Cricetulus griseus: one gene and its partner. The protein of the gene in region 1 purifies or fractionates together with the protein of each later gene. This does not show direct contact. Links are inferred from orthologs where the notes say so. Each region holds a gene or a part of one and is shown in the gene's direction. Other genes may lie near its edges. The genes, in order: Dot1l and nucleophosmin.

Region 1 (16,059 bases):
ATCATGGGAGTTTCACAAACTTCCTGAGCCCTATAGGTTATGCTTCCAGACGTAATGCGCCCTCCCCCCAGCCCACTGTCTAAGTGGGGCCATTACCACACAGCCACAGTGGGAGACTGTTCAAGACTTTAGGTTGAGGGGACACTTGGCCCACACCAGTGTTCGTGGGCTATGTTGAACCTGCTAAGATTTTTTTAAAGATTTATTTATTTATCATATATGCAATGCATGCCAGAAGGCACCAGATCCCATTACAGATGGTTGGAAGCCACCATGAGGTTGCTGGGAATTGAACCCAGATCCTCTGGAAGAGCAGTTGGTGCTCTTAACCTCTGAGCCATCTCTCAAGTCCCCCATGGGCTATGTTGAATGTTCCCTGTCACCTGTGACCTATGACTGTGCACTGGACAGGGTCAACTGGAGTCTATAGCTCCTCTGTGGCAAGAGGTGATGACCAAGACTTGGGCAGAGCTGGGAGAGAGCCTGGGCCCTGGGGAGCCTGCCATGATATCTGTCTGCTCTCAAGAGACACTGTCAACTGTGGCCTTTGTCATCCCAGGTGGGGTTGTGCAGTGTGCAGTGTGTGGAAGGGTGGAAAGCTCCCATGGCCACTGGCCGGCCCAGGGAGGGTAGGAGCCCTGCACCTACTTCCTTTCGTCATTCTTCCCTCTGTGGCTTTTTGTCAGTGTAATTGGCATCTGTGGGCTTCATCTCATGTTGGCAGATTGAGATCTGGCCTTGCGTGGTCATGCTGGGGCAAGGCTTGATTTCAGGCATAACACAGTGCTGGCCAGTGGTTGTAATGTTGGGGTCACTGGCCCGATGGGACTCTGCAGGACTTGCCAACACCTGTTGTGTTTGCAGGGGGAACAAAGCTCTGAGTCAGTCCCCAGCTGTGGGGAATCTGGGGTCCAGGCCCTGGGAGTGTGCATCTCAGAACAAGAGGGGGTGTCACTGTGTGCTTGCTGGGGACTGACTCTGCAGGGTTTTCTCTTTCAGGACAAGCACCACGATGCTGCTCATGAGATTATTGAGACTATCCGGTGAGTGCTGCATGGGGTGTGTGGGGAGGGTATGGGAGGGTGGTAAGCTGCTTCCTGAGGTTCACAGCACTTCTACTTTGCTGTCTTCACTGGGGCTTCCTCAGTAGTGAGTAGTGTAGTAGAAGGAGGGGCCCTGGCAGAGACATCAAGCTTCAGGGCAGCCTGCCTCAGCCCTTGCCACACATTGCTTGTCAGAGAAAACCTCAATTGTTTGTTCCCCTGCAATGGCAGGGATGAGCCAGGTCTCATGTATAGCTTCTGAGCTGCAGCCTCCTGCGAGATGGAACTGGAGCGTCTCTGTGTCTCCCAGCTTCCTTCACTAGTCCCCAGCTTTGGGTGGATTAGAGAAAGACAGGAGTTTGTGAGGTCTACTAAGGTCTGATGTTGCTGGGGGGCGGGGGGTTGCTCTATTCTGATACCTACAGAGGCGTGATGCCAGGGAGGCTGCCTGCTGGGAGGGCTCTGCTGTCCTTCTTCTGGATCTTCTGCCCTCTGAGGCTCTTGAAATCCTGGGCGTAGACTAGTGTGAGAAAAGCCCTGTGGACCACAAAGCCGAGACCCTGGACTCAGGGTTAGATTGCCATTGGGTGCTTGGAGGTAGGGATGGCAGTGCTGCAAAGGGCCAGTGAGTTGGCTGAGCGGGTACAGCACACTTACTGTGCTAGCCTGAGGACCTAAGTTTCATCCCTAGAAGCCTTGTAGGGATGGAAGGAGAAGACTGTCTGCTGGTGTCCTCTGACCCTGCATGTTCTGTGTACCCGTGTCACTCAGTTGTGCTTGTACATCCACAGGTGCATATGTGCACAGTTCCACCCCACCCCACCCTAGCCCCATACACAAAAAAGAACTAAAAGATGTTTAAGAGTCTGGCAGGGAAGGCTGAGACATTTTTGCAGGTTGAGGTGGGGGCTGCAGGTGAAACAAAATCACATTAGGGAGAATGGATGGGATGTGCGCAGAGACAAGATAGTCTGGGATTAGGGCTGGCCTCTGGGCAGGTGGGGACCCCAGCAGATAGACCTAGTAGCATCTCCAGAACCACTTGTTTGCAGTTGTTAGGACAAAAGCCTGGCTTCTGCAGCCCAGCAAGCTGGGCTGGGGCAGCCACTGTGCATGTCAATCATAGTGATGCTGAAAGCAGAGCAGCAGCCTGGGAGCTGGCCTTGTGGGTAAATGAGGACCTGAGCTAAGATCAGATCCCTAGAGCCTACCTAGACAGACATGGCAGCATGGGTCTGCGAGCTCATGGGCCAGGCAGCTTGGTGCAGGTGGTGGTGGTGCATAGGAGACTGTCAGGGTGGAGGGCCGGGGTCCACTCTGTCCTTTACACATAGAGTGATCATGTGGCCACAGACAGACAGCCTGCAGGGTCTGATGTGCTTCATGGTTGACCAGAGGAAGTGTTCCACAATAGCAAGGAAAAAGCCCTACTCCCTAACAACGCCCTCTTCTGTGCTTCCCAAATTCTTCCTCCCCATATCTCCCACGGGAGATGTCATTGGTAGGGAATAGGGATTTTTCTTTCAGTGTAGGACACCCCCCTTTTTATTCTTAAAAATTTTTATCTTAGCACTAGGCATGTTAGCACACAGATCTTTAATACTAGAACTCTGGAGACAGAGGCAGGTGGATCTCAGTGAGTTTGAGGCCAACCTGATCTACAGAGCGAGTGCCAGGACAGCTAGGGCTACACAGAGAAACCATGTCTCAAGTAAATAAATAGATAAACAAACAAACAAATAACTATCTGGTGTATCCTAGGCTAGTCTTGAACATAATAACTATGTAGTCTTGGATGGCCTTGGACCCTTGATCCTCCTGTCAAACCCAGCCTCTCCCCTGACTTTTTTTTTTTTTTTTTTAAATCTTTGTTTTTTGAGACAGGATTTCTCTGTAGCTTTGGAGGCTGTCCTGGAATCTGTAGACTAGATTGGCCTCAAACACAGAGATCTGCCTGCCTCTGCCTCCCGAGTGCTGGGATTAAATGTGTGTGCTACCACTGTCAGGCTCCCCCAACGTTTTTATTATTATTGTGTTTGTAGTTGGTGTATCTGTGTATGCACACATGCCGCAGCACATAGTAGGAGTCAGAGGGCAACTTTGTGGAGTTGATTCTCTCCTTCCACCTTGTGTAGGTCCCAGGATTAAACTTGGGTTCTTGGGTTATGACGCCCACCATTGCTTTTACCTGCAGAGCCATCTTGCCAGCTCCCCTTCCCATTTTTTTTTCTCCTGAGAAAGGTCCCATTATGTACCCCAGTCTGGCCTAGAATTTGGAGTATTTGTGCCTCAGGGCCTCCCACCATTGCTGGGATGGCCAGCTGGTATGTGCCACCAAGCCTGGCTAATATTTTACTTTTTACCATAACATGTGAATTTGTTTCTTTTCCAAGTACCAACACTGTTTGACCTTGGCCTCATAAAAATCCATGTAATTTCTCAGGTGCTTGTCTTTCACACACACACACACACACACACACACACACACGTACGCGCGCGCTCGGAGAAGGGGTCCTAGGCCAGCAGGAGCTCTGTGTTCTATTTTAGGTGGGTCTGTGAGGAAATCCCGGATCTCAAGCTGGCCATGGAGAACTACGTCCTGATCGACTATGATACCAAAAGGTGAGGAGGAAGGGAGTAAGTGGGCTCTGGGCAAGGCTGTCCCTCTGGACTGCCCACACCCTGTTACCGTCTGTGTACACTTGTAGGAGTGTCTGCTGTGGAGTGAGGCCATCCCTGGGAACTCCACACTGAACAAACTTGAGTTGGGAAATGAGCAGGGCTGGTGAGAGAACAGAACAGCAGTCAGTCCTGCCAGAATCTGTCTGGCAGGTGTGGTGAGGCCTCTCCTCCAGGACGGAGTGAGTGGAGAAGAGAAGGCATCCCCAGAATGCTTCCTAGAGTGGGTTTGTCTCCTTTGAGAGAGGCCAGCCTAGACTCCATCTCCTGCTCAGCCTCTCCAGTCTGCCTGCAAAGCCTCGTTTGACCTCTGACCTCATTATTAGAAAGGACTCCTGATATTAGTCAGCCTTGGTGAAGCTGGGTGTGCCCACACACTCCTTGGCACTCTGTCTGTCTGATTGCTTCCTTTTTAAAAGATTTAATATGGCTGGGTGGTGATAGTGCACTAGGGAGGCTGAGGCCGGTGGATCTCAGTGAGTTCAAGGCGAACCTGGTTGGACAAATCGAGTTCCACAGAGAAACCCTGTCTCAAAAAACCAAAAAGAAAAGAAAAAGATATTATGTATTTTTTACTGTGAGTTTGAACATTTGCCTGCTTGTATGTCTGTGTATCTATCATAAGTGAACAGTACCCACAGAAGTCAGAAGAAGGTGTTGGGTCCCCTGGAACTGGAGTTACAGATGGTTGTGAGCCACCATGTGGGTGCTGGGACCTGAACCTGGATCCCTGTGAGAGCAGTCAGTGTTGAGTTGCCTCTCCAGTCCTAATTCTGCTGTCTTTTCATTTGTTCCTTCCTTCCTTCTTTGTTTTGCTCCTCCCTCCCTCCCTCCTTCCCTCCCTCCCTTCCACCTTCCCTCCTTCCATTTCTTTCTTGGAGACAGGGTCTCACAGTGCAGCCTTGGCTGCCTTGAACTTGTCAGGTGACCAGATGATCTGCCTCCGGTTAGAGGTGTGGCCAGCACACCCCAGCCTGCTTTCTCACACACTCTTGTAGCTTGTTTGGCTGGACCCAGGGAAGTTTCCCTGTTCTGAAACAATGCTGTTTAGAAGGAGGGCAGACCTCAAGAGGCCCTGCGGGGACAGAACCCTCTGGTTGCTGCCGCGCCTGGGTGGGATGTGGGTTTCTGTGTAAGGGCCTCTACTCCATCACCCCTTTAGTCTCTGTGTGTATATTTGAGCAGCATACTCACCTCCTGGAGGACAGAGAAACCTGGGTAGCTGTCACCTTCCACCTTGTTTGAGACAGTCCCTGTTGCACATGCCACACCTGTCCCCTTTGTCTTAGAAGCACAGGTCCTCAGATGCCTGCCCCTTTCCAGTTTTACGTGGATTCTGAGGATTTGAACTCAGGACCTCAGAGTCGACAACAGGCACTTTAGCTGCTGAGCCATCTCCCCAGTTCTAGCTCAGTCTTTTTTGGGGGGTGGGGTTCTAGACAGGGTTTCTCTGTGGCTTTGGAGGCTGTCCTGGAACTAGCTCTTGTAGACCAGGCTGGTCTCGAACTCACAGAGATCCACCTGCTTCTGCCTCCCGAGTGCTGGGATTAAAGGTGTGTGCCACCATCGCCTGGCTAACCCAGTCTTCATAGTGACTTGCTCTTTTAGTTTCTCATCTAGTGACACGGTCTGACCATGGAGTTGACACATGGATATAGACCCAGTCAGACTGCCCTAGCACTTGGTCCTGTGGCCAAGGACTGTCTCAGCATGAAGCCTCTGGTGCTTCTGGGATCCCATGCCTCCCTGGAGGCTTTGCCCAGCCCTACCTGTCTGTAAAAGCTGGGTATGCTGCAGCCCACTAATGCTCCCTTTTGTTTTTTTTCTCAGTTTTGAAAGCATGCAGAGGCTGTGTGACAAGTACAACCGAGCCATCGACAGTATCCACCAGCTGGTAGGTAGCTCCCCACTTTCCAGGCTCTCCACTCCCCAGTGGGTTTACATGGTGCCTGCTCCTGGGCCTCCCAGGGTGGCCCAGCACTAGGACCTCTTGGTGGCTGTGAAAGTGGTAGAGAGGGCAGCTGGCACAGTGAGGCATGGGAGTCAGGTGGCAGCAGGTAGAGCCCCAGCTGGCCCCAAGTGGCTTCCTCAAGTAGCTTCTTCAGGTCAGTCTGCTCTGCAGACCCTTCCATCTCTGCCTATCTGCCTGCATGCTGCAGCACAGGGGCAAGTAGTCAGCATTCTCCCGAGCTGGGAGCCAGCCTCCTTCTGCCCTGCAGCTGGCCCCCAGCCTCGGGCCTCTCTCTGACATAGTCTAGTTAGTTCTACCTGTTTGGGGAGAGGGGTGTTCTCCCCCCAATAGAGCCTCATAACAATGTGCCCCACCTCCTGGGGGGTGTATCCTCACAGTAGGGTCTTATACAGCTGTGTTCCACCTGCTGCAGGGGTGTTCTCACAGCAGAGCTGCATAAATGTGTACTCCACCTGCCCACCTTAGCTGACAATCTGGATGCAGGCAGCAGAGCTCAGCAACTGTGCACCCAGGGAGTGCTCTTTCTAGAAGGCACAGGGGTCTCTGGCATTTTAGCAGGTGTTGGGCCACTGTGGGGTTCTGTGGTGTCAGGGAATTCTCCTGTGGAAGATGGGGCTGTGTGGAGAGACTGGGCTAGCACAGGGTCACTTTGTGGCTCCTTGAACTAAGACACTCATGCAGCTCTTCAGTGATGGCCCACTGGGCACTGGTCCTGCCATTGCCACTATACCATGGGGACACCAGCTGAATTAGCTGCATTAGGGCTCCTGTGGGGCAGCAAAAGAGGCTTGGTGACTGGCCCCTTCAGCTGGGCTGTCCTGTCCTGTCACATCTTATCCTATTGCTATGGCTAACAGAGTGTCCATGGCCATGAAACCAAGGGGTAGAGCCCTTCTCTCCTGAGGGAATTATTCCTTCAGTCTGGTGGCTCAGATCAGTAGATGAGTGCCAGGGCATACCACTTGCAGGGCCAGCCTGACAGTCAGGAGTCTGCAGCTAGCTCTTCACTGCTTTCTTCTTGTGAACTTGAATTAAAGACCCTGTCCCAAGGCTAGAGAGTCCAAGGTATGTCCTGGAATGATGCATACCTGCCAGGAAGCCTGGAGTCAGGAGGGGCTTCTGGGACCCCAGGGTTGGGCCTAGGCCATGAGGCTTATGAAGTCTAGTCAGAGTTGACCTTCATATGAGTAACCTAAATGGAGTACATGAGTTTGTGTGGAAGGGTCAGACAGAAGCCTGGCATGCCAGAACTGGCTCTGTGCATTTGTAGGAACACTCACGCTGCTGTGCTTTTCTGTATATGGTTTTCGGGATGTATCCAGTGAGCCACACTCCAGCCCCCACCTTTTGTGTTTATTTGTTTTGAGACTGTGTAGCCCCAGTTGTCCTGGGACTAGCTCTATAGACCAGGCTGGCCTTGAACTCAGAGAGATCTGCCTGCCTCTGCCTCTCTAGTGCTGGGATTAAATGTGTGAGCTACTACCACCTGGCAACCTTTTGCATTTTTGATATAGGATCTTACTTCCTATGTGGTCTATGCTGGCCTTGGACTGCAGTGTTCCCCTGCTTCAGCCTCCCACGTTGTGGGTGTCAGCCAGATGCTGCTGGCTGCGAAGAGTGTAATGGGTCATGTCCACTCTTGTTCCTAGTGGAAGGGCACCACACAGCCCATGAAGCTAAACACTCGGCCATCTAATGGACTCCTGCGGCACATCCTGCAGCAGGTGTACAACCACTCTGTAACTGACCCCGAGAAGCTCAACAACTATGAGCCCTTCTCCCCTGAGGTGTACGGGGAGACCTCCTTTGACCTGGTTGCCCAGATGATTGACGAGATCAAGATGACCGAGGATGACCTGTTTGTAGACCTGGGCAGTGGTGAGTGTCTTGTAGCACAGCCTTCGAGCTGTCCTTGGCTCTCTCAGTGTACCCATGGCTGCACATGAGTGCTCAGGGAGGGTAGCGGCTGAGCTGAGGCTCCTGGCCATCAGTGCTCCTGCTCAGGGCTCTCACCTAGGGCCCTCAGCCCTGCTGGCTCTGTACAACCCTGCACCCTCTTAGGGGCCCCTGGGTCTTGGCTTGTGTGACCAGTGTTCCTGAGGCCTCTGGTCACACTCTGTGCAGCCTCACAAGTGATACACAGCAGGGCTTCTGGGCTGCCTCTGTGGCTGGCTATGGTTCTGATTGTATCCACTTTTCTTGGGGCAAGTCTTAGTTAGGGTTTCAGTTGCTTCAATGAAACACTGTGACCTAAAGCATCTTGGGAAGGAAAGGTTTTATTCAGCTTATACTTCCACATCACAGTTCATCATTGAAGGGAGTCAGGACAGGAACTCAAGCAGGGCAGGATCCTGGAGGCAGGAGTTGATGCAGAGGCCGTGGAGGGTGCTGCTTACTGGCTTGCTCCTCATAGCTTGCTCACCTGCTTTCTTTCTTTCTTTCTTTTCTTTTTCTTTTTTTTTTTTTTTTTTGGCTTTTTCAAGACAGGGTTTCTCTATGGCTTTGGAGGCTGTCCTGGAACTAGCTCTTGTAGACCAGGCTAGTCTTGAACTCACAGAGATCCCCCCTGCCTCTGCCTCCCGAATGCTGGGATTAAAGGCGTGCGCCACCAACATCCGGCGTGCTCACCTGCTTTCTTATAGAATCCAGGATCTGCAGTCCAGGGATGACACCATCTGCAATGGGCTGTGCCCTCCCGACCCATTAATAACTAATTATGAAAGTGTGCCAGGCGTGGTCGCACACGTCTAATCACAGTGCTTGGGAGGAAGAGGGAGGAAGACCTCTGAGTTTGAGACCAGCCTGTTCTACAGACCAAGTTCCAGGACAGTTGGGGCTATACAGAAAAACCTTGTCTTGAACCCTCCACCCTTTCCCCCAAAAAAGAGAAAAGAATAAGAAAAGCCCAATGTCCCACAGGCTTGCCTGCAATCTAATCTTTTTTTTTTTTTTAAGATTTATTTATTTATTTATCATGTATACAGCACATGCCAGAAGAAGGCACCAGATCACATTATAGATGGTTGTGAGCCACCATGTGGTTGCTGGGAATTGAACTCAGAACCTCTGGAAGAACAGTCAGTGCTCTTAACCCCTGAGCCATATCTCCAGCCCGCAGCCTGCAATCTAATCTTATAGAAGGTTTTTTTTCTTTTCTTTTTTTTTTTTTTTTAGTTTTTTTTTCCTAAAAAAAGCACTTCTTTTTAAAAATGTGTTTATTTTGTATAGTGTTCTGTATGTATATATCCCTTCAGGCCAGAAGAGGGTTCCATATCTTATTACAGTAGGTTGTGAGCCACCATACGGTTGCTGGGAATTGAACTCAGGACCTCTGGGAGAGCAGTTAGTGTTCTTAACTGCTGAGCCATTTCTCCAGCCCGGAAGCATTTTCTCAATAGAGACTCTCTCCTTTCAGATGACTCTAGCTTGTGTCAAGTTGACTTAAAACTGTCCAGCACAGGTCTTGTCTCCTGTACCTCATGGGGTGTGAGGTAGAGGCTGGAAAATGCCCAGCTACACCCTCCAGCTCTTTTAGAAGCTGAAGGTGAAGCCTCCTGGATCCCTCTCAGTGCCCTGTAGCTTTGGGGCTCACATTCTCTACCAAACTGTACAGGTTATGCCTCCTTGCCTGGCCCTGTGTCTCCTGAGGCACTGTGTGTCTTCTGGCTTCTCTGCCCTGTAGTTCTGAGCTGCTTGTTACTGGAAAACACTGTCGAGCTTAGAAAGTCAGGTGGTATGTGCTTGCCATCTGAAACATGGAACTGGCCTGCCAAGTGGAGGGTCACCTTCAGATCCTCGACCCTCCATGGCATGAAGTGGTATTGACTGGCCTAGCTTCCCTGCACAGGGCCTGCACGTGCCTGTCGCTGGCAGTTATAGCCTCTGCATTTCTTGTTTGTTTCCCATCCCCGAGCATACCTGTTAGGTCAGGATGCTTGCTGCCCTGACTGGCTATATCTGTCTGTGCCACAGCAGGACCAAGGGGTGACTTAGGCCAAGAATTGCCTTTGTGGGGACTGCTAAGCCTTGTGCATCTATCCCCACATAGAGACAGCCAGGCCTTGCTAACTGCAGAGGTAGAACTGGCAGGTTACAGGTTCATAGATTGCATTGTGGGTAGTAGAGTGGCGCAGACACCCTCTGGTGGGAGGTCTGTGCCTTGATGATGGCCTCCTCGCTGATGCCAAGGGACATTGTTATATGGCTGAGGCTGTGTTTCTATGGAGGCCACAGAGACTCTGACCTATGTCTCTCTGGCTGAAGGTGTGGGGCAGGTTGTCCTTCAGGTTGCTGCGGCCACCAACTGCAAACATCACTACGGAGTGGAGAAAGCGGACATCCCGGCCAAGTACGCGGAGGTGAGCGACCACACGTGTATGCTGCTTGGGGCTTCTGTAGGGTGCAGCTCCTTCAAGCCAAGGGTGTCTGTGTTTATGACACCCAGCACCTTCCAGCAGAGTGCCTGTGTCCCTGGCAGGCTCTGCAGAGCTTCATGATGAGCGTGCCTTGCTGTCCTGGAAAAAGGATGGTGCTGAGCTTCTGAGTTGAGAGGACGCACATATCCCCTGGATGTCCCCCATCTGTTCCTCCCAGGGTGGCTGCAGAGGGTGATCTTGGTGCTTTGTTGGAGGGTTGGGAACCCCTCTTCTGGGTACCTTCCACCACTGTGTGCTCACAACAGGGCTGCTGTAGATAGATACCAGTATTTTGTCTCATGTGATTCTGCAGAGCCTGTGGACCCTTCACCACCTCTGCCTCCCTGAGTTTATAACAGGTCATGTGTTTTGTTTCCCTCAGACCATGGACCGAGAGTTCAGGAAGTGGATGAAATGGTATGGAAAAAAGCATGCAGAATACACAGTGAGTGCCATCGCTCCATGCCCGCGGCCTCCATCCCAGTCCAGCCCTTTTTCCCATCCTCTCTTGACCCCAATCAGTCTTGATGAATGACCATATGGCCCTCTGTGGCAGTGGGCACAGTCTCTGGAGCTGGCTGCTGAGCCCTGATCTTCTTGCTCCCCTGGTCTGGGCACCATCTCTAGACAACATGTGCTGACTGCGGGCTGTGGTAGCAGATACTCAGCTCTACTGAGCTGAGACCTCAAGAATGGGCAAAGTGAACCCCTGCTGAGCTGTACCTGGGTGTAGCCTGTGCGTTAGGGGTCAGGACCCTTGGGTTCTTGATGTGGAGATTTGTTTAGGCTGGCCTGTGGACTGGCTGGGAGGGTCAGGCAGCAGTGACATCCTGTGGTGCCTCTGTGCTACGGGCAGTGGAATGGAACGGTCATGGCCCCGCCTTGGTCTTCATCTGTCATCCTTCCTGCAATTACCCCAACTCACTAGTGCTTTCTTGGTGAAAATTTGCCATGCATGAGGGTCTCGGGAATCTGTTAGGAGAGAGGCCCACTTGACACCTGTGTCTAGGACCCAGGAGATGGGTCCAGATTCTTAAGACTTTGTCCTTTTCATCTTTAACTGGTGGGGCCTGTTGGTTCCACACCCATGTAAAATTCTCAGTCAGGGACACACCTTTCAGGAAGACCCTACCCCATCCTGAGTGGCCTCCTGGTCATTTCCTCTTCTTCCTTAGCTTATCATTGTTAGATGACCTGGCCTATATGGTTGAAGTCAGTGGTGTGGCTGGTAGCAGTTTGCCATGTTGGCTGTTGTCACTGTCAAGCCCTCATGGGCCTCAGTGCTCATGCTGGTGGCCCTTGGCTTGTGGTGGGGAACAGGGCTAAGGCAAGAACAGTTCTTGAGGCCTTGGAGACCATGGGAAGCAACCTGGCAGTAGGAATAGAAAACGGTGATTGGCCTTTGTGTCCACTCTGGCTTCCCACAGCACCTTGAGTGACCATCAGCCTTTTCTAGGAGGCTGTGTAGGCACCTGCCTGGCCTGTGCAGTGCTACAGCTTTGATTTGCAAGCTATGAGCCTTGCCCTCTGCTGTTTAAAAGCATGCAGAAGAAAAGCCAGGGGAGCCTAAAAACAGCCCAGAGGACTTTGCCTGCTTTGTACCAGTGATGCTGCTACCCGCCACCCTCCACTTCCCTACATGCAGCCAAGTCTGCTGACGTGCTCCCTCCAATGGCTGAATCTAGTCTGGCTTTTCCGAACCCATAGCTGCTCCTGGCAGACCTTCCCCCCATCCTTCAAGGACCCTAAACCGGCTTGGGGCAGATTCTGGGCCACACTCCTCCCTGCTGGCAGTGCCTCCTAACATTCCCAGGCTTGGTGACGTCATGTGTTCACATGTGCCTGTCTTCCCATCAGCTGGCAGCTGGGGTTGTGCAGCTTTGTTAGTGAGTTTCTTTCTCAGACGGTTCTGGGTGCTGGGACTCCTGACCCTTTGTAAGCAGTTCCTCTCAGAGGGGTTTGTGGGCTTTGACCCCTGACCCTGGAAGAATAGAGTAGCCTATGACTCCTGGGATGCTGGCTACAGCTTGCTAAGGTGTCCCATGGGCAGCCAGTACTGCTGAGGCGTGCTCATGGGACATGTATCTGAGACTGCGTCAACAGGCCTTAGCTGTCTCTGCTCACTTGCACTCAGACTGAGCTGATGGGTTCTTGAAGTGACTGAGTCTATGGCTGACTGTGACCCCATGAATCTCACCCGTGGTCACCTTTTCTGGCCCTCCCCAGGCTTCTGTGGGGCCTGTGTCAGTCTTCCCCACTTGCTTCATGGATACTGGCCAGCTTCATGTGCCTTCCCTCCCCTCTTGCTTTTTCCATGTTGGTAGGTGTGGCTGTGACATTGTTTCTTGGGGGGATGTGAACAGATGTTTCCCAGATAGGGAATCCATAAAGCCCAGCTTGGAGGATTCTCGAGTTTGACAGGGGCTCCTTATAGGAGGTTGGGTGTGCAGTCACTTAATAGAAACAGTAGTGACTCAGTGACAACTGCATCATCAAGGCCCACCCCAGCATGGGTGACAGCTCAAAAAGTGGGAACCTGGAGTGCACTAGACAGCCTACAGGCAGCACAGCAGGCTGGAGAGCATCCTTTCCAGTTGGCTCAGTAGACCTGAGCCTCTTCCCCAGCAGCCTGGCTGGTGTGACTGTTTCTCAGCAGTCCTTACTGTTCAGAGAAGCCTGGGGAGGGAGGGCCTTGCTCCCTGCGGGGTGAAGTGTATGGAGATTTCCTACACAGTAGCAGACACCTTGCTTCAGGCCTGGCTTCCATCCCAGGCCAGACAGCCAGGACTTTTGAGTTCCTTGCCACAGACACAGATAGTGCAGCTAGCTGGCTCCCCAGACTTCATGACCTGGTTGGCAAGGATAGCACTGGGGCCTGGCTGTAGCGGGAGGAGTGCTGGCTCCACACATGACACAGCTGCAGGGTGAGGTCTGTTCTGGACGGGCCTGCACAGGCCACAGCAGGTACCCATCAGATTCTTGGAGCAGAGCCAGCCCACAGCAGTTTCTGTCTTTGTAGCCATGTTGCAGACCACAGCAAAGGCACACAGCAGAGCCAATAAGGCCATCGGGACTTGCAGAGCTCTTCCTAGCAGTCTCAGGGTATTCTCATCCTTAGATGCAGAGACCCAGTACCTGGGGATTAAGGGGATGTGGCCCCTCTGCTTAGCACATACTCAGCAGCAGGGGTGAGGGGTGTGTGGTCTCTGCTGCAGTGCTTAGCTTAGGAGAGAGTAGGTCTCCTATGCCCAGGTGTTGCCCTGCATTTGAGGGCTGACTGAAGCTTCTGTCCCCAGGCCTGGCTGGTGTATAGCAGAGTAGAGTCAGAGATCTATGAAGCGGGGCTTGGCCTGGGGTGGGCTCAGGGTCTGTTCTGCCTACAAGGCTATGGTCACCCTAGCCCAGGTCTGCTCTGCTCACTGGAAGACAGAGACAAACTTGTCCTAGCAGAGTGGGGAGGTGGCTCTGGGCCTGCCCTGTCATCCTGTCGGTCACCGCCGCTGCCCCCCACCCCCTTCCCACAAGCCTCTGATACTCAAATCCACTTCTGGTCAATGTATTTGCCTGTTGTACCCCACACTGTGTGGCCTCCAGTGCATCAGTCTTTGCTGCTCCTGTTCATTGCCAAGGAGCTTTCTAGCACATGGATGGACTATGCTATGTGTCTATTGTTCATAGATGTCCCTGACTTTTGGACTTTGTAAATAACTAACACCCCCTACCCATCCCCCACCCCCCACCCCGTGACCTCCATGTAGAATGGACTGTTCTTTTCCTGGGACAATGCTTTGAGCTGCAGCTGGTGGGTGGTCTGCAGAACTCAAAACCTAGATTGCTTGGTCTCTAAATGTAGTCAGCTGTTTCCCACTGGTGGTGGCGCACGCCTTTAATCCCAGCACTCCATAGGCAGGTGGATCTCTGTGAGTTCAAGGCTAGCCAGGCTACAAAGTGAGACCGTCTTGGAAAAACAAAAAAAGAAGAAGAAGAATCAAAAAGCTGTTTCCGTGTAACACACACTGACCTGAAGGAGGTGGATTGACATTGGTGCTGACGGACACTGAGGTCCGGGTAGCAGGGCCACATTCATGGGGTCACTTGTGCAGCAAACATGTACTAACGCAAGGTGCACAGAGGTGATCTCATATGTACACACATATGTACAATGTACAATGATAAGTGAGTGACAGAATGGCTGGTCCCGTCTTCCTGGCCACATAGATACATCTCATGTCTGTAGGGTCTGCAGATGGCCTATGTGATGCTGCTTTTCTTGGGACACACTCTGGGGTTAGAGAGGGCTGGCTGGCCAGGCACATGCACAGTGGTTCCTCACCTGGACCCATACCATCCTCTTGTCTGTCCCGAGAGGGTGTTGCTTTCTTTGTGCTGGGGGTCAGGCCTTACCCTCTGCAGAGCTATCCACTGGCTGTCCACCGTCACCTCACCCCAAGATCCAGATCATCCCATGTCTCACAGCAGCTATGGGGGCTGGGTTTGAACCAAGTAAGCCCGTGAGTAAACGTGTTCCTTTCTTTCTTAGCTGGAACGAGGTGACTTCCTCTCAGAGGAGTGGAGGGAGCGGATCGCCAACACGAGGTACGGCCGGCTGTGGGCCGTGCTGCTGGCTGTGCTGGGGTCTCTGACTGTTGCTCCCCAGATGTGGGTGACTGCTGTGGAGGGTACTGTGGGGTGCTGCTTCAAGAGTGCTGGCCTCTCTCTGGGCCTGAGCCAGCTGCTGTCTCACATGGGATGTGGCAGCTCCTGTGCTACCCTCGTCATGGGGTCTATCGGGAGGAATCTAGGTGTTTGGGGGCTTCACCCCTGTGTTTTCTGTCGAGGGGGAGGGTGGTGCCTACCTGTTGCATTGCACCTGCCTGCTTGTCAGTGTTTCTCTGTGTTCATGCCCTGTGCTTGCCCCGTGTTCTGTGAGTGGTCCTTCCCTGGATGCTGTTGACAGGGAGTGCTTCCAGGAAGCCCGCTTTATTTCCGAAGCGCCAAAATTCAAAACAGGTGTCTTATACCTGTGTCCTGCCCCAGCTTTCCTGCTTACTCTGCTCACCTCAGGTGGGTGGCGGGGAAGGGGGACTGCACCTGGCAGGGACCAGCAGCAGGCTGTGTCCAGGCTGGGACTTGATGTGCACAGCCAGTTTTACTGAACTAAAACATTGTTTTGCAGTGTTATATTTGTGAATAACTTTGCCTTTGGTCCTGAGGTGGATCACCAACTGAAGGAGCGATTCGCAAACATGAAGGAAGGTAACGCAACCCTCCTGCCCACAGGCCTGGTGCCACCACCCTCTCTGGGGGGACCACACAGTTACATCACTCTTCCTTTAGAAGTCCTCAGCAACCTTCCCTATTCATGACGGGTAGTCCTTGGAGGCCCTGAGCCCCGGCTGTTTCCTGGCAGCCTTCCCCAGCCCCTGGGCTGCAAGGCAGAAGTAAGGGCCTGATGGCTGAAGGCCCTGGTGCCCCAACATACTCCCAGCAGCCAGCAGATAGGTTGAAGGGCTAACCCAGCTCAGAAGCAGTCTCTTGTGAGCACCCATACCAGGGCCCCTCGCTTGTGAACTTAGGTTCTACCTGCGTGTGTGTTTGTGCCTGTCAGTTTCTTGTGACAGAGAGCTTCAGAATGAGGAATTGCATAGAGCACATGCTGCCCGTTGCATAGGGCCAGGGCAGCCTGTACTATCCACTGCTGTCACGATTCAGGGAGCAGGGACACCCAGACTTTCCGGCTTTTTAGTCTGATTTCCCAGCTCTGCACCTGTCTGGTCACAGAAGTGACAGGTGTCTGCTATGGGGCCTGTCCTCAGCCTCCCCCACGCTTGTAGAGTTAGTTACTTGAGGTGCTGGGGGTGAACCTAGGGCCTTGTATGCTCAGCAGACACTCCCCATGGAGCTTCACCTCTACCTCATTTTCTTTTCTTTTTTCTTTTTTTTTTTTTTT
Region 2 (16,529 bases), on another chromosome or scaffold:
TGGTACAGAGGATTGAACTCAGGGTTTTACACATGCTAAGTAAATGCTTTTCCTCTGAGCTACAACCCTAGCTCAAGACCCCGCCCCTTCTCTTTTTGAGACAGGGCTCCTTTTGTGTAGCACTTGTTATCCCGAAACTCATGGACCAGATTGGCCTCGAACTCAGAGATTAAAGGCATGTGCCACCATGCCCAGCTCTGACCCTATCTCTTAAAAAAGAAAGTAGGGGAGACCGGACGGTGGCTGTGCATACCTTTAGTCCCAGCACTCTGGAGGCAGAGATGAGTGGATCTCTGTGAGTTTGAGACCAGCCTGGTCTACAAGAGCTAGTTCCAGGACAGCCTCCAAAGCCACAGAGAAACCCTGTCTCGAAAAACAAAACAAAAAAAAAAAAGGGGGGGGATCTCTTATGAGAGAAGACAAAAGAGAGGATAGAAACATATTTCAGATAACAATATAGCTAAGTTTTTCTGAAATTGATGAGACTGAATATCCAAACTCCAGGAAACTCCGTGAACCCTGAGACAAAAGACACATGAGGGAAAGTGTACCAAAGTACACTGGAATCCACATGCTTAAAGTCAAGGGTAAAGAGATTATTTTCCTCCCTCCATCTCTCCCTCCCTCTCCTCTCCTCCCAGCGCCCACCTCTTTGGATAAGGTCTCATGTAACCCAGGCTGATCCTGAACTCTGATCCTTCTGGCCCTCTTCTCAAGTACTGAGATTATGGCTATAGACACATCAACCACACTAGTCTAAGGGGAAAGTATTACATGCAGCCAGCTACCCCATGCCTGATCCCAGCAGCAAGAGGCTGAAGCAGGGGGATTGTGAGTTCAAGGCTTGTGTTGTGTAAGGACACCTGTCTCAACAGTCATGGGGGAGGGCAGGAAGGACACACTGTGAAGAGAAGAACAAAGGCACAACTACAGGCTGGGGATGAGGGTCATTGGTGGGGCATGTGCTTGACTGACATGCAGGACCCTGGGGTCAATACCCAGTACAGGAAAAAAAAAAAAAAATCAAAACCAGACCAAACCACAGACAAAACTTCCAAACCTACAAATCAAAGCAAACTTCCTGCTTGGTGAAAAAAAAAATACCCGGGGATAAAAGAAAAAAAGTTTAAAAGAGAGAGAGGGAATTTTTTGTTTGTGTTTTTTGGCTAAGCAAAGATATGTCACATTAAAGCATGGTCCATATAGGAAAAAAAAGGAAGTCAAATAGGACTTCATCCAAATTAAAAGCTTCCAAGACTAGGCATAATGACACAATCTGTAGTCTCAATACTGGGGAGGCAGAGGTAGGAGGCCCCAGGCTAGCCCAAGCCCAGGCCTAGTCTACACAGAGAATTCCAGGTCAGTCAGAGCTACATACCCTGTCTCAGAGAAGACAAAAGAAATCTCAAAATAAAAGCTTCCATCACTCAAAAGTTTTTATTTTGTCATTTTTTTTTTTTTTTAAATAAAGGATCTCTTTACATAGCTCTGGCTGACCAGGCTGGCTGGTCTCAAACATACAGAAAACACTGTCTCTGCCACCTGAGTGCTGGGATTAAAGGTGTGCCATCATGCTTGAATAAAAACAAGGACAACAAAAGAGAATGAAATGGCAAGTTACAGGCTGGGGGACAGAGTACTTACAAAGGAAAGGAATGAAAAAAGACTGTGTCCACAATGGGAAACTTCTCCCCCTTGAGTCAGTGTAAGATGAAAAATGTAACTCAGGACTGTGGGGAGTCAGACAGAGAACACCTAGTCAATATTTTATTTTTAAATGACAAGAGAAGGGCAAAGGACTTGAACAGACTTCAGCAGATATATGGGAGGCTGGGAAGATGGCAGGCTGTGTAAGCATGAGGACCTGTGTTTGAATCCCCAGTGTCTACATAAAAATTCTCCCATGCACCTGTTACCCTAGCACTGTGGGGGCAGCTCCAGGTTAGTGAGAGACTCTGTCAAGAGAATAAGGAAGAGGATTAAGGAGTAGGACACTTGGGCTGGAGAGAGGGCTCAGAGGTTAAGAGCACTGGCTGTTCTTCCAGCGGTCCTGAATTTAATCCCCAGCAACCACATGGTGGCTCACAACCATCCCTTATGAGATCTGATACCCTCTTCTGGTGTGCAGATATACATGGAAGCAGAATGTTGTATACATAATAAATAAATAAAATCTTTTAAAAAAGGGAGGACATTGAAAGTCTTCTCTCTCTCTCTCTCTCTCTCTCTCTCTCTCTCTCTCTCTCTCTCTCAATTTAAAGACAATCTTATTTTACATACCAATCCCCGGTCCCTCTCCCTCCAGTCCTGCCAAGCCCCTCACCAATCCCCCCATCCCACTCCCCAGGGAGGGTCAGGCCTCCCACGGGGGCTCATCAAAGTCTGTGACATCATTGGGGCAGGCCCTCCCCAATGTATCTAGTATCCCTCCATAGGGAATGGACTCTCAAAGTCCGTGCACTAGGAATAAACACTGGTTCCACACGCCAGAGGCTCCAAAGACTGCCCTGGTCTCCCAACTGATACCCACCTTCAGGGGGCCTGGTTCATTCCTATGCTGGTTACCCAGCTGTCAGTCTGGGGTCCGTGCACTCCACTCCCACTTGCTCAAGTCAAATGTTTCTGTGGGTTTCCCCAGCATGGCCTTGACCCCTCTGAAAGTCCTTCTTTGGTCATATCTGCACACGCGCGCGCGCACACACACACACACACACACACTTTTTAGAAGAATATAATACACATACAGGAAAAAGCACTGGAAAAGATGCTCACCAGAATCAGGGACCAGGGAAATGGGAATTAAAAACCTAAGATGCACACAAGCCCTCTGGCCTTTCTAGGATGAGACTGTTGGCACGGATGTGCAGGCACTGTTCTCAGATGCTGCTGGGGCTGGGGCAAAGGAGACAACTTTTGAAAATAGTTTGGCAGTTTCTTGAATTTTTTTTTCTTTTCTTTTTTGAAACAGGGTTTCTCTGTGTAGCCCTAGCTATCCTGGAACTCAATAGACCAGGCTGGCCTTGAACTCATAGAGATCCACGTGCCTCTGTCTCCTGAGTGCTGAGATTAAAGTGCCACCACTGCCTGGTCCTTGAAACATTAAGTGTAGATTTTCCCAAATGACTTAGCCTTTCTGTTCCTACGCGCTTATCTAAGAGAAACTGTGTGCCTACATGACCACTGTCTACTGATATGCTCAGAAGGTTTGGGGAGAAAACATTTCTCTTTTCACTTTATTTTTAATTGAGTTCCAGGCTGGCCTCGAACTCACAGAGATCCACTTGCCTCTGCCTCCCGAGTGCTAGGATTAAAGGTGTGTGCCTCGACCGCCCGGTGAATCTGGGCATTTCTTTTCATATTTCTGTAGTCATGTGCTATACAGTTATACAGTTGTCCCTTGGTGCCCACAAGAGATCAACTAGTTCCAGAACTATCCTCCTGCCAATACTCAAATCTGCAGGTGGAAAGATGTATATTAAATAGCATGCCATATGTATATGAAAACTGTTGAAAAAGAGAGTTGGTCATAGGATTCAATTTTTATGCTTTAAAATGTGCTCAAAACTAATAATAAAAACCTGGAATCATAAAAAAGATAGTACATATTCTGTCCTACTCATTGTACCTCAGTATGTTGTATCATACAGAGACATTCAACGTGCAGGCAGGTGGCAGGAGGGCAAGGAGAGCTCAAGTAAAACATGGCTTTCCTTTTGCAAAAAGTAAGAGGTTGTACTTCATGAACATATACTTGCAGGTTTCTGCCCTTTTACTATGAAAGTCCATTTATATCTGTTTGCTTTTCAGGTCTCTGGGCTCAGAGTCCAAAGCAGGACCTCAGGAAGCATTAAAAACCAATTTAAAACAAAACAAAAAAACTAGGGCTGGAGAGGTGGCTCAGTGGTTAAGAGCACTGCGGCTCTTCCAAAGGTCCTGAGTTCAATTCCCAGCAACCACATGGTGGCTCACAACCACCTGTAATGAGATCTGGTGCCTTCAGGCCTGCAGGCATACACGCAGACAGAACCTGTATACATAATAAATAAATCTTAAAAAAAATATACCTAGGCACTAGTCTTTAATCTCACCTTTAACCCCAGTACTTAGCAAGAGGCAGAAGCAGGCAGATCTCTGTGAGTTTGAGGCCAGCCTGCTCTACAAAGCCAGTTCCAGGACAGGCTCCAAAGCTACACAGAGAAACCTTGTCTTGAAAAAACCAAACCAAATCAATCAATCAAACAAACAAACAAACAAACAAACAAACAAACAAAAAAACCAAAACGCCTTCTCTTTCCCCAACACTTCCCACAGCTTCATATGATGTTGTTATCTAATCCCATTTTCTTAGTCACTGTGAATAACAACTCAACAAACATAGGCACACAGGTATCTGTATTGTATGCTGATTCAAACATATACCCGAAAGGGATGCAACCAAATCACTGTAAATTCAATTTTGAGGAACCTTCAGATTTCTTTAGTGTTTCTACTAATTCATGTTCCCACAAAATATATGTACATGTTCATTTTGCCAACATCTAAACCTGTAGTAAGTTTTCTTTTCTACAGTAGATATTCTAACTGGGGTTAAGAGGCCCCCATTGTGATTAGATTTGTATACCCTCAATGAATAATGATATTGAGCATTTTCATATATTTATGATTAATATTTTTCTTTTGAGAAATATCTATTTCTCATTTTGACTAACTTATCATTATTAAGGTCTTTAGTTATATTTTAGAGATTTGTTGTTTGTCTGAGGAATAGCTGGCAAGCATTTTCTTTCATTCTGTGATGTGTTTCTCCGCTCTGGTAATTGTGTGGCCTTTGCTGTGCAGAAAATATTTATTTTGCTGTCAGTTCTGTACAAGTCCATTTTTGAGATTATTATCATATTAAGCTGTGTTAGGGTATTCATAAGGATATGTGTACAAAGATACTAAGGTACAATTTGACTATATTCTTTTTTGGGGGGGCAGGTTTTGAGGCAGGGTTTCTCTGTGACTTTGGAGGCTGTCTTGGAACTAGCTCTTGTAGACCAGGCTGGTCTTGAACTCACAGAGGTCTGCCTGCCTCTGCCTCCTGAGTGCTGGGATTATTTTTATTTTACTATTATTATTTTTGTTTTTTGAGACATTATATTATATATGTTTCAATTTGCATAGGCCTATATAATTGCAATGAAAAAGACAATAAACATTCTTTTATGGCTACCTTAAAAACACAGGTTTTGCTTATTTTTTTGAGACAAGGTTTCTCTGTGTAGCCCTGGCTGTCCTGGAACTCTGTAGGCCAGGTGGCCCAAAACTCAAGAGATCTACTTGCCTCTGCCTCCCAAGTGCTGGGATTAAAAGCATGCACCACCATTTTAAGGCTGGCTTAAAAATACATTTTTAACAAATGTAACACAAAACATAAAAGACCCAGAGACTGATATTGGGGTTCAAACTTCAAGCTGAAAAACAGAAAAGCAAAGTAGTGGGCCACTACCTCAGGCTGAATGGGCTGATCCTGCTGCCTCTCCTCAGCATGGCTTGAGAATCCTCAATATGGATGGAGAATGAATGCTCCTATTTTCAGTGTGACTGGAGAATGAATGTTTAATACTGAGACCTTGATCCTGTGTTTTATATACCTCACTAATGTTGGGATTAAAGGCGTGTGATCCCAGGTGCTGAGATCATCTTTGTGTGAGCTGTTTATCTTGTGTAGATCTGGGTGGCCTTGGACTCACAGAGATCTGTCTACCTCTTAATCCTAAAATTAAAGGTGTGTACCACCACCTCCTAGTTTCTGGCTGCTGGGAATAAAGGTGTGTGCCTGGCTTCTGTGGCTCATGGCTAACTTTGCTTTCTGAATCCTCAGGCATGCGTTAATAAATCATAAATATTACTACAAATAAACACTTAAAAAAACAAAACAAATCCATGATTCTGATACAGTGTAGGGGTCTTGATTAGGTTTATTTTCTCTGACAGTTAAAGAATTAAAGGCAGGAAAAATCTGAAGTACAACATGTAGCAGCAGAGAACTCTGCAGACAGGATCAGGAAGGTGTTTATTGGTGGTGAGGAAGCCTATGTATGCAGAGACACACAGAGAAAAGACCCTCTGTGAAGCTGGAAAATCCAGCCCCCTGTCCAGGGCTGGGATTTTAAGTCTCTGAAGAGTTTTCCTCCCCTAATTTATGGTTTGTCAGTTTGAAGAAAGTTAGGGCATTTGATTGTTCCAGAACTGTTGTGTGATGTCCTGAGCAGGCCTTGAACTTGTTGAGCCTGTCTGTCAGGAGGAGGCCTGCTGGTGGGAGACAATAGCCTACAAGGCCTTTTGTCTCAAGGTAGGTGGTTAAGGAAAAAGCTGGCCATCTTGGAGATGGCTTTATTATCTCGCCTTAGCCCCTCTCCCTATCGGTCTGCCCAACAGGGAGTCTGTGTAACTCCTAATCCTTCAATCCCATGAGTTTATATTTAGACAAGGTGCCTGAAATGTTGCAACAAGTGTGTTTTCATTAGTGATAGCTCCCAAATAGTTTAGTGTCTGCATTAGATGTGTTTCTTTTGTTTGTTTTTGGAGACAGGGTTTCTCTGTGTAGCTCTGGTTGTCCTAGAACCCGCTCTGTAGACCAGTCTGGCCTTGAACATTTGAGATCTCCCTGCTTCTGCCTCCTGAGTACTGGGATTAAAGGCTTTTCTCTCTCCCCAACCCCCTGCATGTGCTGTGTTTAAATGATCCAGAATCTAGGAAACAATGAAGTAGTTTTTTGACCCGCCCTGGCTCTAAGAACATTCTCCCTCCTAGACTAGAAGCCTTCGAATTTTGAATGGCCAGACTGCTCACTTGTGGTTTTCCCTTTTCCCGTTTATCTCAGTTGCTTACATAGACAGTACTTCCAAGTTTCAGGATTTACTCTAGTAGTTGTAAAGTGGAAATTCACTGGGCCCCATTCACATCTTGAGGCTGATTTTTTCCCCCCCAAATTTAGGATTTGGTTAATAATCTGCTCATACGTTTTATACTCAACTGGTCTTCCCAATTGGACCATCTCTGGAGTAAAGAGTCTGGGGGCATGAATACCATTACTCACATTCCTCCCAGTAACCTTTTCATTTGCTAGCTATGTTGAGATAAAAAGATTAGGGCTGCTCTCAGTACGCACCCAATGTTGAGGGATGTTTGTCGGGACGCAGTTTAAAATGCTATTTCCCAGCCAAAGATTCTAATCAAGGCTCCTGTATTTCTTAGAAGTCATATGCCTTCATTTGGAATGATAAGGATGACCTGCGTGTTCTCAATTCTGCACACACCTCTAAACTTTTAGAAAGGTGCTCTTTGGCCCTCGAATGACGTAAAGCTGAGAACTTAAGACTTTGGAGATGCTGCCTCAGAAAAGAGGTATAAAAAGTATGGCTGATGCCGGGCGGTGGTGACGAATGCCTTTAATCGCAACACTCGGGAGGCAGAGACAGGCGGATCCCTGGGAGTTTGAACCCAGCCTGTGAGTTCCAGGACAACCAGGGCTGTTACAGAGAAACCCTGTGTGGAAAAACCACAAAAAAAAAAAAAAAAAAAAAAAAAAAGGCTGACAAAGTGGCAAGCAGAGAATCATTCTACTAATGATCCGTCTGTCCTGCCTTTGGCTCCTGAAGCTCTATGGGAAAAGGATAAAATAAGACCAAGCCTTCGAGGAGGTCAAATCCTGAGATTATGCCTGTTGCAGGTCTACCGAGAACCGGAGGGCGAAGAACAGCGAAGGGAGTCGCCCGCTGGTTCCCGGCCGGCAGTCGCCATCTTTTAGGGTGGGCTGCGCAGCCTCTCCGCGCAGGGCCCGCGTGGAGAAGCCGAAACGTGGTAGCTTCGGAGGGCTGGAGCGCGTTACAAAGGGAAAGTGCGCCTGCGCTCGGGCAACCGCGCTGGAGGGGCGGGGCCAGAGGGAGGACGCGCGTGCGTAGTGCGAGCCCGCCAAGCACCTGGAAGAGGTGGGGAGGGGAGGTAGAGAGGCGTGGGATAGGACAGCGCTTGCGCAAGAGCGAGACAGTGCGGGAAGTGGGGGATCCGGAGCACGCTCGCGGAGGCGGGACTAGGGCAGATCTCGCGAGATTTGCTGCGGCCATATATACGTGCGGCGAGCCCGCGTCCTTTCCCTGGCGTGATTCCGTCCTGCTTGTCTGTTCTGAGGAGCAGTAGGCAGTTTCCTCCGTCCGATATCTCGCATACCGAAGTGCGCGTCTCCACCTCATGGAAGACTCGATGGACATGGACATGAGCCCTCTTAGGCCACAGAACTACCTTTTCGGTAACTGCCTGGCGGGGAGGGCCTGGGCAGGGCCTGGTGGTTGGGGGGGCGGCGGGAGTCCAGTTGAGGCCTGGCGTGTGCCAAGCGCGGCGTGGGTGGAGGCCTTTGCACGGCTGGGAGGAACCGCCTGGGCCGCGGGAGCCGAAGAAAGCCGAGGCCCGGGCGCTGAGCGGGACCGTAGCTTGGGGCGGCAGCGGCCCAGCCTCGAGCCTCTGGCGTTGAGAGGGCGGTCGGCCGAGGGTGCCAACTTGGCTTGGGGCGCGAGCAGGGGCTGTGACGACACTTTCTCTTCATACGTGAAGAAGGCCTCAGGACCTGGCAACAGGCAGCTGAAATTCAGCGCTGGGCCCCAGGCGCGTCCCGGGATAATGGTGCCTCTGGAGCGCGGCCTGCGCCGCCTCGTTGGGACGGTATAAGTGCAGTCCGCTGGGCTTTACAGGGGCTTCGGCCCCTCCTCCCCGTGCATCCGAGAGGTTCCGCCGCTGACAGGGACTCGGCCGGCCAAGCTCCCTGCGGCTGAGGGGGCCGCAACCCCTGGGAACACGTGGTTGCCACGTGGTTGGGGGTAGGGAGGGGGTGTGGGCTCTACATCCGGGCTCTCCTCACTTCTTAACCCTGGTCCTTCGGGTCCTGTGGTTTAATTAGGAGTGCTAGGCGGGAAACGCGTAAAGTGGCGCGTGGCGTCCGTGTCTTTGTTAAGATCTTGTAGCATCCACGGTGATGGTAGTGACTTTTTTTTAGAGACCCTTTAGTGCCTCTGCAAGAGGTGGAGTCAGCCCCACGCTGCCGATGACGATATTGATGGTCGAAGGGTCTTGATGTTAAGAGAGGGCCACGAAATCTTAAGTCGAAACTATCCTTTTCCCTACAACTGGTCTTTTTTTTTTGATTGGGCCGGGGAAGAGAGAGAAGTGCCTCCCGCGTTTAGCAGATTAAGGGATCACTTTGGTAACTCGGCTTCTGGGGACCCCACTGTCACTGCACATTCAGCTTATCGGTTTTACAGTCTATTAGTTTGGTTTTCAGTGACTCGAGTCAATTTTTTCAAAATTCCGAGTGTTTAAAGCACTTTCCCCTACGTGAATGAGTAGTACATGTTTAATGTACTCTAAGCATGAAGGGTTTAAGCTGTCCCTACTGGTCATGTGTAACCACTGTTGATTTGTAGTAATTTCCTTTAGAACGTAGGTAAGTTGGGTTTTTTAAAAATAGTGCTAGATAATGGTATGGTGCCACTATGCAAAAATCCAGTTTTAGGTCATTGGGTTTTCTGTGAAAAAATGGTAACGGTGCCTCATTAATTGGTCGTGAGTTACTATGAAAAAGTAGAACTTTTATTGGCTTTCTTATACAGTAGATTCCACGGAGAGAACATTTTTAAGTTAAAAGAGTAGAAGTTAATGGTCGTTTGGGACTGTGATGTTCATCTTGCTAGATTTATTTTATTTTTTCTTTACAGGTTGTGAACTAAAAGCTGACAAAGATTATCACTTTAAGGTGGATAATGATGAGAATGAACACCAGTTGTCACTAAGAACGGTACTTAAACTTTGAAATTAATTAGCCATTAGATTTCAGCCACTTGGATCTAAGTGAGGGGATTTATGTCAGTTTGTGCTTCCTTAACTGATGGAAAAATAGTATTTTTATAACTTTAAAATAGTTCACATATGTACTGGTAACAAAGAACTGGGTGTCTTTTCCACAGTCACTGTTATAATTAGTTGTCTAGTAAGGCTCTGCAGGATGTGATCTTTTTAAGTCTGTTGGCTATATTTTATTGGTTGTTTGGCTTTCTTAGGAACATACAGTGTTTTGTGTCTATGCATCTCGTAATTATATGAGAGGACTAGTTATCAGTAGTGAGAAGAGGCTAATTAAAAAATTTAAGGGGTGTTTATAAAACAACTGGGTACTGAAGGATCTTTCTTTTTGTTCACAGGTTAGTTTAGGGGCAGGGGCAAAAGATGAATTACACATCGTAGAGGCAGAAGCAATGAACTATGAAGGCAGTCCAATTAAAGTAACGCTGGCAACATTGAAAATGTCCGTACAACCAACAGTAAGTACATTTGTAAACATTGTTTTTAAAGTTGGTCTCTAAGACTGATTTAGGATAAGCAAAGATGTTTCAAATAAGTTATATCTAGTGTGAGATTATCTCTGTGGCTTCTAGATAGGTTTATTGATTATATAACTCTGTTGGTGATGCTTGGTGCAAAACATTCTTAAAACAATGTTTAATGATTGAAATTTGCTCATTTTTAGGTTTCCCTTGGTGGCTTTGAAATTACACCACCTGTGGTGTTACGGTTGAGGTGTGGTTCAGGGCCTGTGCACATTAGTGGACAGCATCTAGTAGGTATGTTTTTGGGTTTTTAAATCTGGTATTTCTATTAGGAACTGGCTTTTTTTAATATTTGTGTTTTGGCCAGGTTAGAGAAGACGTCTGTTGCCACTACTTGGGTCCTTGGGATTGAATACTGAGGTTTAGCCACAAAGATCTTGTAATTAGATTGGCTATCATCCTAGATCTCCAATATGGACTTTGTAAAAGTTCTTAGTTGTCTTATGCTGAAATAGGAATCTGGTAATGTATAAAAAGATAACACCTGAGTATCTTATTTCAGCTGTAGAGGAAGATGCAGAGTCAGAGGATGAAGATGAGGAGGATGTGAAACTCTTAAGTATGTCTGGCAAGCGATCTGCTCCTGGAGGTGGTAGCAAAGTTCCACAGGTAATTTTTTTTTTTAGGAAATGTTTTTGGTTTCAATATGTTAAATACTAAGGAATGACTCTTTCTCACAAATACATTTTTCTTTTAAGAAAAAAGTAAAAATCGATGAAGATGAGGATGATGATGATGAAGATGATGAAGACGATGAAGAGTAAGTATAAGTTTGTATGGTCTTAGAAACTTGACACACTGCACTGTGAAGGGTTTTAGGAAAATTGATTTGCCCCAATAGTTTCTAAAAGTGACAAAAAGGATTGATGGTTGAAAGTGAAGACACTTGTGCCTGTTAGGTTGTGATTCTTTCAGTGGGACATTGATTTTTTTTTTTGAGTTTAAAATAGGTTAAAATAAGATTTCATGTGTTGTGCCTGTAACAGATGTGAAATGTCTTGACATGAGTTATCTTTGAATATCTTGTTAGAAGTTGTGGAATTGGTCATGTTTTATTTATTGAAAGCATTATGTATGAAGTAAGAACTGTTGAGGAAAGCAAATTTGGGAGTGGGTATTAATATATAGATTAACTAGCAAACTGAATAATGCATGAAAAATGATACATCTATGGTTCCTTTTAGGTAATGTTACACATTACCTAAATACCTTGTATGATAATATCCGGTTATGGATATCTGAAAAGATAACTCATTTTATATATAAATTGGAAGTTTCTGGTTAAGAGAAAGCCTCTTGGGTTCTAAAGCCAGTTTTTGTTTTTTGTTTTATTTTTCTTCGTTTGGCTTTTGCCATAGCAGTTTTATTAATTTTGCTTCTATTGATACAATCACATATTTTATATGTAAGACTGAGGAACATTTTGTCACATAACTGCTTCCTAACTTGTCATAATTTCAGCCTTCCCCTCCTTTATATGGGGGTTTTTATTTTTGATCATGGTACAATTGATCAGATGTATGGTGTGCCTCTTTATTGTAAGTTAATATTTTATTTTATTAGTTCAAATTAGGAACAAGCTTCACATGTCAATCCCTTCTCCCTCTCCTCCCCAACATCCCACCTGCCCCTAGCCATCCCCTCTCCACTCCCCAGGCAGGGTAAGGTCCTCAAAAGGGGCTCCCCATAGTCTACCACATCCTGGGCCAGGCCTAGGCCCTTCCCCCTGTGTCCAGGCCAAGAGAGCATCCCTTCACATGGGATGGGCTCTCAATCCCTTTTTTTTTTTAAGACCTTACATATTTAATACAGTGCGTTACCTCTGTACAAATGGAAAAAAAGTTAAACATTTCTAGACCAATATGGCTGCTAATTTTGTACAATGCCAACTCAGCGCAGTAAACTGGGATACTTTTCCAAAGTTGACAGCACAGCTAAAGTTCCCCAAAATTCAAATTATATATGTATATATATTTATATTTATATAAAAAGACCAATAATGGCAGTATGTTAAAAGCCAGCATTAAAAACTACCAAAAGCGCTGGGCGTTGGGGGCGACCCTTTAATCCCAGCACTCAGGAGGCAAAGGCAGGCGGATCTCTGTGAGTTCGAGGCCAGCCTGGTCTCCAGAGCGAGTGCCAGGATAGGCTCCAAAGCTACACAGAGAAACCCTGTCTTGAAACCCCCCCCCAAAAAAAAACTACCAAAGCATTGGATTTACATGTGGCTTTTGACATCATGGTATAATAATGAGATGATTTCCCACACTACTGAAAAGGTCATTAATATGTGAAGTTCGTGCTTTTCAATTTAATGAGACTAGTGTGGAAATCTGTGGCCAATGTTGGTAGAACTTATAGATTGAATGCAGATATAGTTAAAACTTTGAATTTATGTTTTAGAATTTATTATGCAGTGTTCTGCCTGCAGGCCAGAAGGGGGCACCAGATATCAAGAGAAGGCTTTGGGCCATCATGTGGTTGCTTGGAAGGACCTCTGGAAGAGTAGCCAGTGCTCTTAACCGCTGAGCCATCTCTCCAGCCCCAACTTATACATGTGTACTCAAATATATATACTTAAAGATACTTTAAGTGATTTTACCCTGTAATGTGATTCACTCCCTTTTAAAAGACTTACTGTGTCTGAAGACCATTTTGTACTTACACACTTTAAGCAAATGTCATGTGGATCCAGATCATCTCAGATCTATCTAGATTGTGAAAGTGAGAAGCAGCTCCTTTTTTGAGGTAATAACACTCAAGTAGTTGGAGGTGGATTCTGCTAATTGCAATCTGGCAGCTTAATTCTCATGGCACATAATAAATGTTTAGGGAGAGCCAATAAAGTAAGCCTTGCCAAACACTGCATACACTAGAATGAAAAAAGCAGAAGAGCTTTGATTGTCTCAAGGAAAGGAGAAGCATTAAGACAACAGCTATAGATTCAGAACAGATTAAAAATTTTACTGCAGGTTTGTATTCTGTGCATTTCCTCCCAACAGGCCTTGGCTGTCTTGGGTCTCATTCTGTAGACCATGCCACCATGAACTCAAGAGGCCTCTGCCTCCCAAGGGCTGGGATTAAAAGTGTGCACCTCCCTAGCCAAACTCTTATCTAGTATTCCTTAAGCTGTAGTTAGCTACTTGTGAATTTTGTAGATTGGCCTTTTCAAGGAATTAAGTCATAGAATCCTATTCATTTGTGTGTGACTTAACTGATTTTTGACAGTGATTACATTTTTATGGGCTGAGAATTTCTTGTGGATATGCTGTTGCTGTGGTCATTGTCAGCAGTATATGGAAGTTCTTCAAGTTACCTCTTTAAAGGGTAACATGGGCAAAGCGGTATCATGTTCAGTTTATATTCCCTAGAGGACTAAAATCTTCTCATGTTAAGCTTTTTGGTGGTTGTGAGACAGGATTTCTCAGACTATTGAGGAGGCTGTCCTGGATATCCTGGAACTAGGTCTTGTAGACGAACGAACTCAGATCCACCTGCTTCTACCTCCCAAGTGCTGGGATTAAAGGAGTGTGCTACCACTGCCTTGCTTGTACAATTAACATCTTTGCTCTTATTAAGGGGGTAGCTTAATTTTAAGGAAGCCTGGGTTTTTTTTTTTTGATGCAAAACTTAGGAACTAACTCATCAAATCTGTTAATGAAAATTTGCTTCCAAGTTTTGTAGCTTATTCCTGAGACCAAGTGTGAGACTCTTGGGTTTTTACTTGTGAATATAATTATTTTCTACCTTAGGTTCCTTGAACAACTGAATCCTAATTATCAATAACTACAAATTGTATGTTGGAGTATTGCCGATTTAGCATTATTAACTCCTGATTTATTGAGATACTATTTCCAAAAAACTACATTTCATAACCCTTAGTAACAATAGTATTATGAGTAAGACACTATCCCTTTGAGTAGCTGACTTTTGTTTGCTTTTTTCTTTTCATAATTTTTATTTCATGTGTTCTCACATTTTGCTTATATAAATGTGAAGGTGTCAGATTCCCTGAAACTTAACAAGTTGCCATGTGGGTTCTGGGTGTTTGGACCCAGTTCCTCTGGAAGAGAAAGTAAGCCAGTACTTTTACTAGTGAACCATCTCTTCAGCACCTTGATTTTTCTTTTTAAATGGCTGAGTAACATTTGTTAGATACTTAATTAGGCCTTTTTGTTTTTCCAGGCAGGGCTTAAAGAGCCCTGGCCACTCTGGAACTCAACTTAGTCTGGCCTCAACTCAGATTCACCTGCCTCTGCCTTCAAGTGCCTTGATTAAAGGTGTGCACCACTACCATCTAAATACTTTTTGATCCATTCAAATACTGGTGCTGTTTGTTTGACTTGTCTATTAAATATTGTGATAGAACGGCTGAAGGTAGCTTCTTTCAAATTGAGCAAATAATTAAGTTGGTTTATTTCCTTTATAGTGATGATGATGATGATTTTGATGATGAAGAAACTGAAGAAAAAGTTCCAGTGAAGAAAGTGAGTATATAACATGCCATGGGTGTCAAGATAGTTAATAAGAGATAAGAATTTCTTAGTGTTGATAGTGAAAACTGGCTCATTTAATTTCCTATTAAAATTGGTTTTGAACTAAATAGACTAAACTTTGTAGGTAAGAAATTTTATGTTTATTACAATGGTTTAGGACACTTGTCTACTCTGGAGGGGGTATACTCTTAATTGCATTCTCTTAATTGCAGTCTGTACGAGATACCCCAGCCAAAAATGCACAAAAATCAAACCAAAATGGAAAAGACTTAAAACCATCAACACCAAGATCAAAAGTAAGTACCAAGGTAACAAAACAGATAAACAGACCTAGTTAAGAAAAGTGAATTCTGTGTTAACCTAGCCTGGGGCTGGAGAGATGGCTCAGAGGTTAAGAGCACTGGCTGCTCTACCAGAGGTCCTGAGTTCAATTCCCAGCAACCACATGGTGGTTCACAACCATCTGTTATGAGTTCTGGTGCCCTCTTCTGGTGTGCAGATATACATGGAAGAAGTATGTTGTATACATAATAAAATTTAAAAAAAAAAACCTAGCCTGCCTAAACTTTGGTATTTAAAGAACTTAACCCTGGCTACATAATACATTGTAGTGCAGTACTTTCATCTGAAGAGTGTCATGTTCTGGGGTGGGCTCTAGTATGAGTTCTTGCTTCGTTTGGAGACCTATTGAATTCTGAGTTTTGTTTATAATTTCATAATGGGATTTTTTATGGCTTGTGTGCTTACAAAGGCCAATTAATCTTTGTAGAATTCAGGACAACACAGTTGGAAGATGCCTGTCAGGGTTCCCCCATCCCAAGCATTGATGAAGAAGCTGAAAAGTGTTCCAGGGCAGCCAGGGCTATTAAAAAAAGATGTTTATGGGGCTGGAGAGATGGCTCAGTGGTTAAGAGCACTGCTTGTTCTTCCAAAGGTCCTGAGTTCAATTCCCAGCAACCACATGATGGCTCACAACCATCTGTAATGACATCTGGTGCCCTCCTCTGGCCTGCAAGCAATATGCAGGCAGAACACTGTACATGTAATAAATAAATATTTTTTAAAAAAAGATGCTTATCAGGTTTGGCATCAGGTGCGTTTACGTTAACCTTGAGGTATCTTTCCTGACAATCATTGTTTTAAAAGAATGATCATTTTGGTTGTCTGAGAGTCAGCTAGCTGAGACTGGCTTTCTGACTAGCTACAATCCTCCCTCAGCCTTTGAAAGGCTGAGATTAAAGGCTAGGAACAATCTTAAAATCAGAAAAATGTATAAAGTTACATGTAAAGCAGTGTCTCCATACTTTATCTAGAAGAGATTGTAAAAATAATTGGGAAGTCATAATTATAATTATGAACTGTACTCTAATTGCCTTAATTAACTTATTCCAGGGTCAAGAGTCCTTCAAAAAACAGGAAAAAACTCCTAAAACCCCAAAAGGACCTAGTTCTGTAGAAGACATTAAGGCAAAAATGCAAGCAAGTATAGAAAAAGTGAGTAAAATTACCAATAATGGATTGCTCTTTTCCCTACTATGTATGGAGGGTGGGTAAAAAATAGATTATAGAAATAGGTATATTCATAATCTTGTGCATAGATGGATGATTTTGC

Evidence for each region.
Region 2: the proteins of Dot1l (region 1) and nucleophosmin purify together in Homo sapiens (affinity purification with mass spectrometry; 3 studies listed by BioGRID and IntAct, with this or other methods). This does not show direct contact. The link is inferred for Cricetulus griseus from reciprocal best matches to the Homo sapiens genes DOT1L and NPM1.

The regions. Positions count from the first base shown.
Region 1 is NC_048598.1:101,544,967-101,561,025, forward strand, and holds part of Dot1l (histone-lysine N-methyltransferase, H3 lysine-79 specific), read left to right. Parts: intron 1-999; coding exon 1,000-1,043; intron 1,044-3,590; coding exon 3,591-3,665; intron 3,666-5,552; coding exon 5,553-5,616; intron 5,617-7,343; coding exon 7,344-7,572; intron 7,573-9,957; coding exon 9,958-10,052; intron 10,053-10,491; coding exon 10,492-10,554; intron 10,555-14,649; coding exon 14,650-14,705; intron 14,706-15,285; coding exon 15,286-15,365; intron 15,366-16,059. UniProt on the Homo sapiens protein: Histone methyltransferase. Methylates 'Lys-79' of histone H3. Nucleosomes are preferred as substrate compared to free histones. Binds to DNA.
Region 2 is NC_048600.1:48,340,855-48,357,383, reverse strand, and holds the start of nucleophosmin, read left to right. Parts: upstream 1-8,119; 5' UTR 8,120-8,235; coding exon 8,236-8,293; intron 8,294-9,752; coding exon 9,753-9,832; intron 9,833-10,235; coding exon 10,236-10,355; intron 10,356-10,561; coding exon 10,562-10,655; intron 10,656-10,923; coding exon 10,924-11,030; intron 11,031-11,119; coding exon 11,120-11,181; intron 11,182-14,850; coding exon 14,851-14,908; intron 14,909-15,129; coding exon 15,130-15,213; intron 15,214-16,309; coding exon 16,310-16,411; intron 16,412-16,529. UniProt on the Homo sapiens protein: Involved in diverse cellular processes such as ribosome biogenesis, centrosome duplication, protein chaperoning, histone assembly, cell proliferation, and regulation of tumor suppressors p53/TP53 and ARF.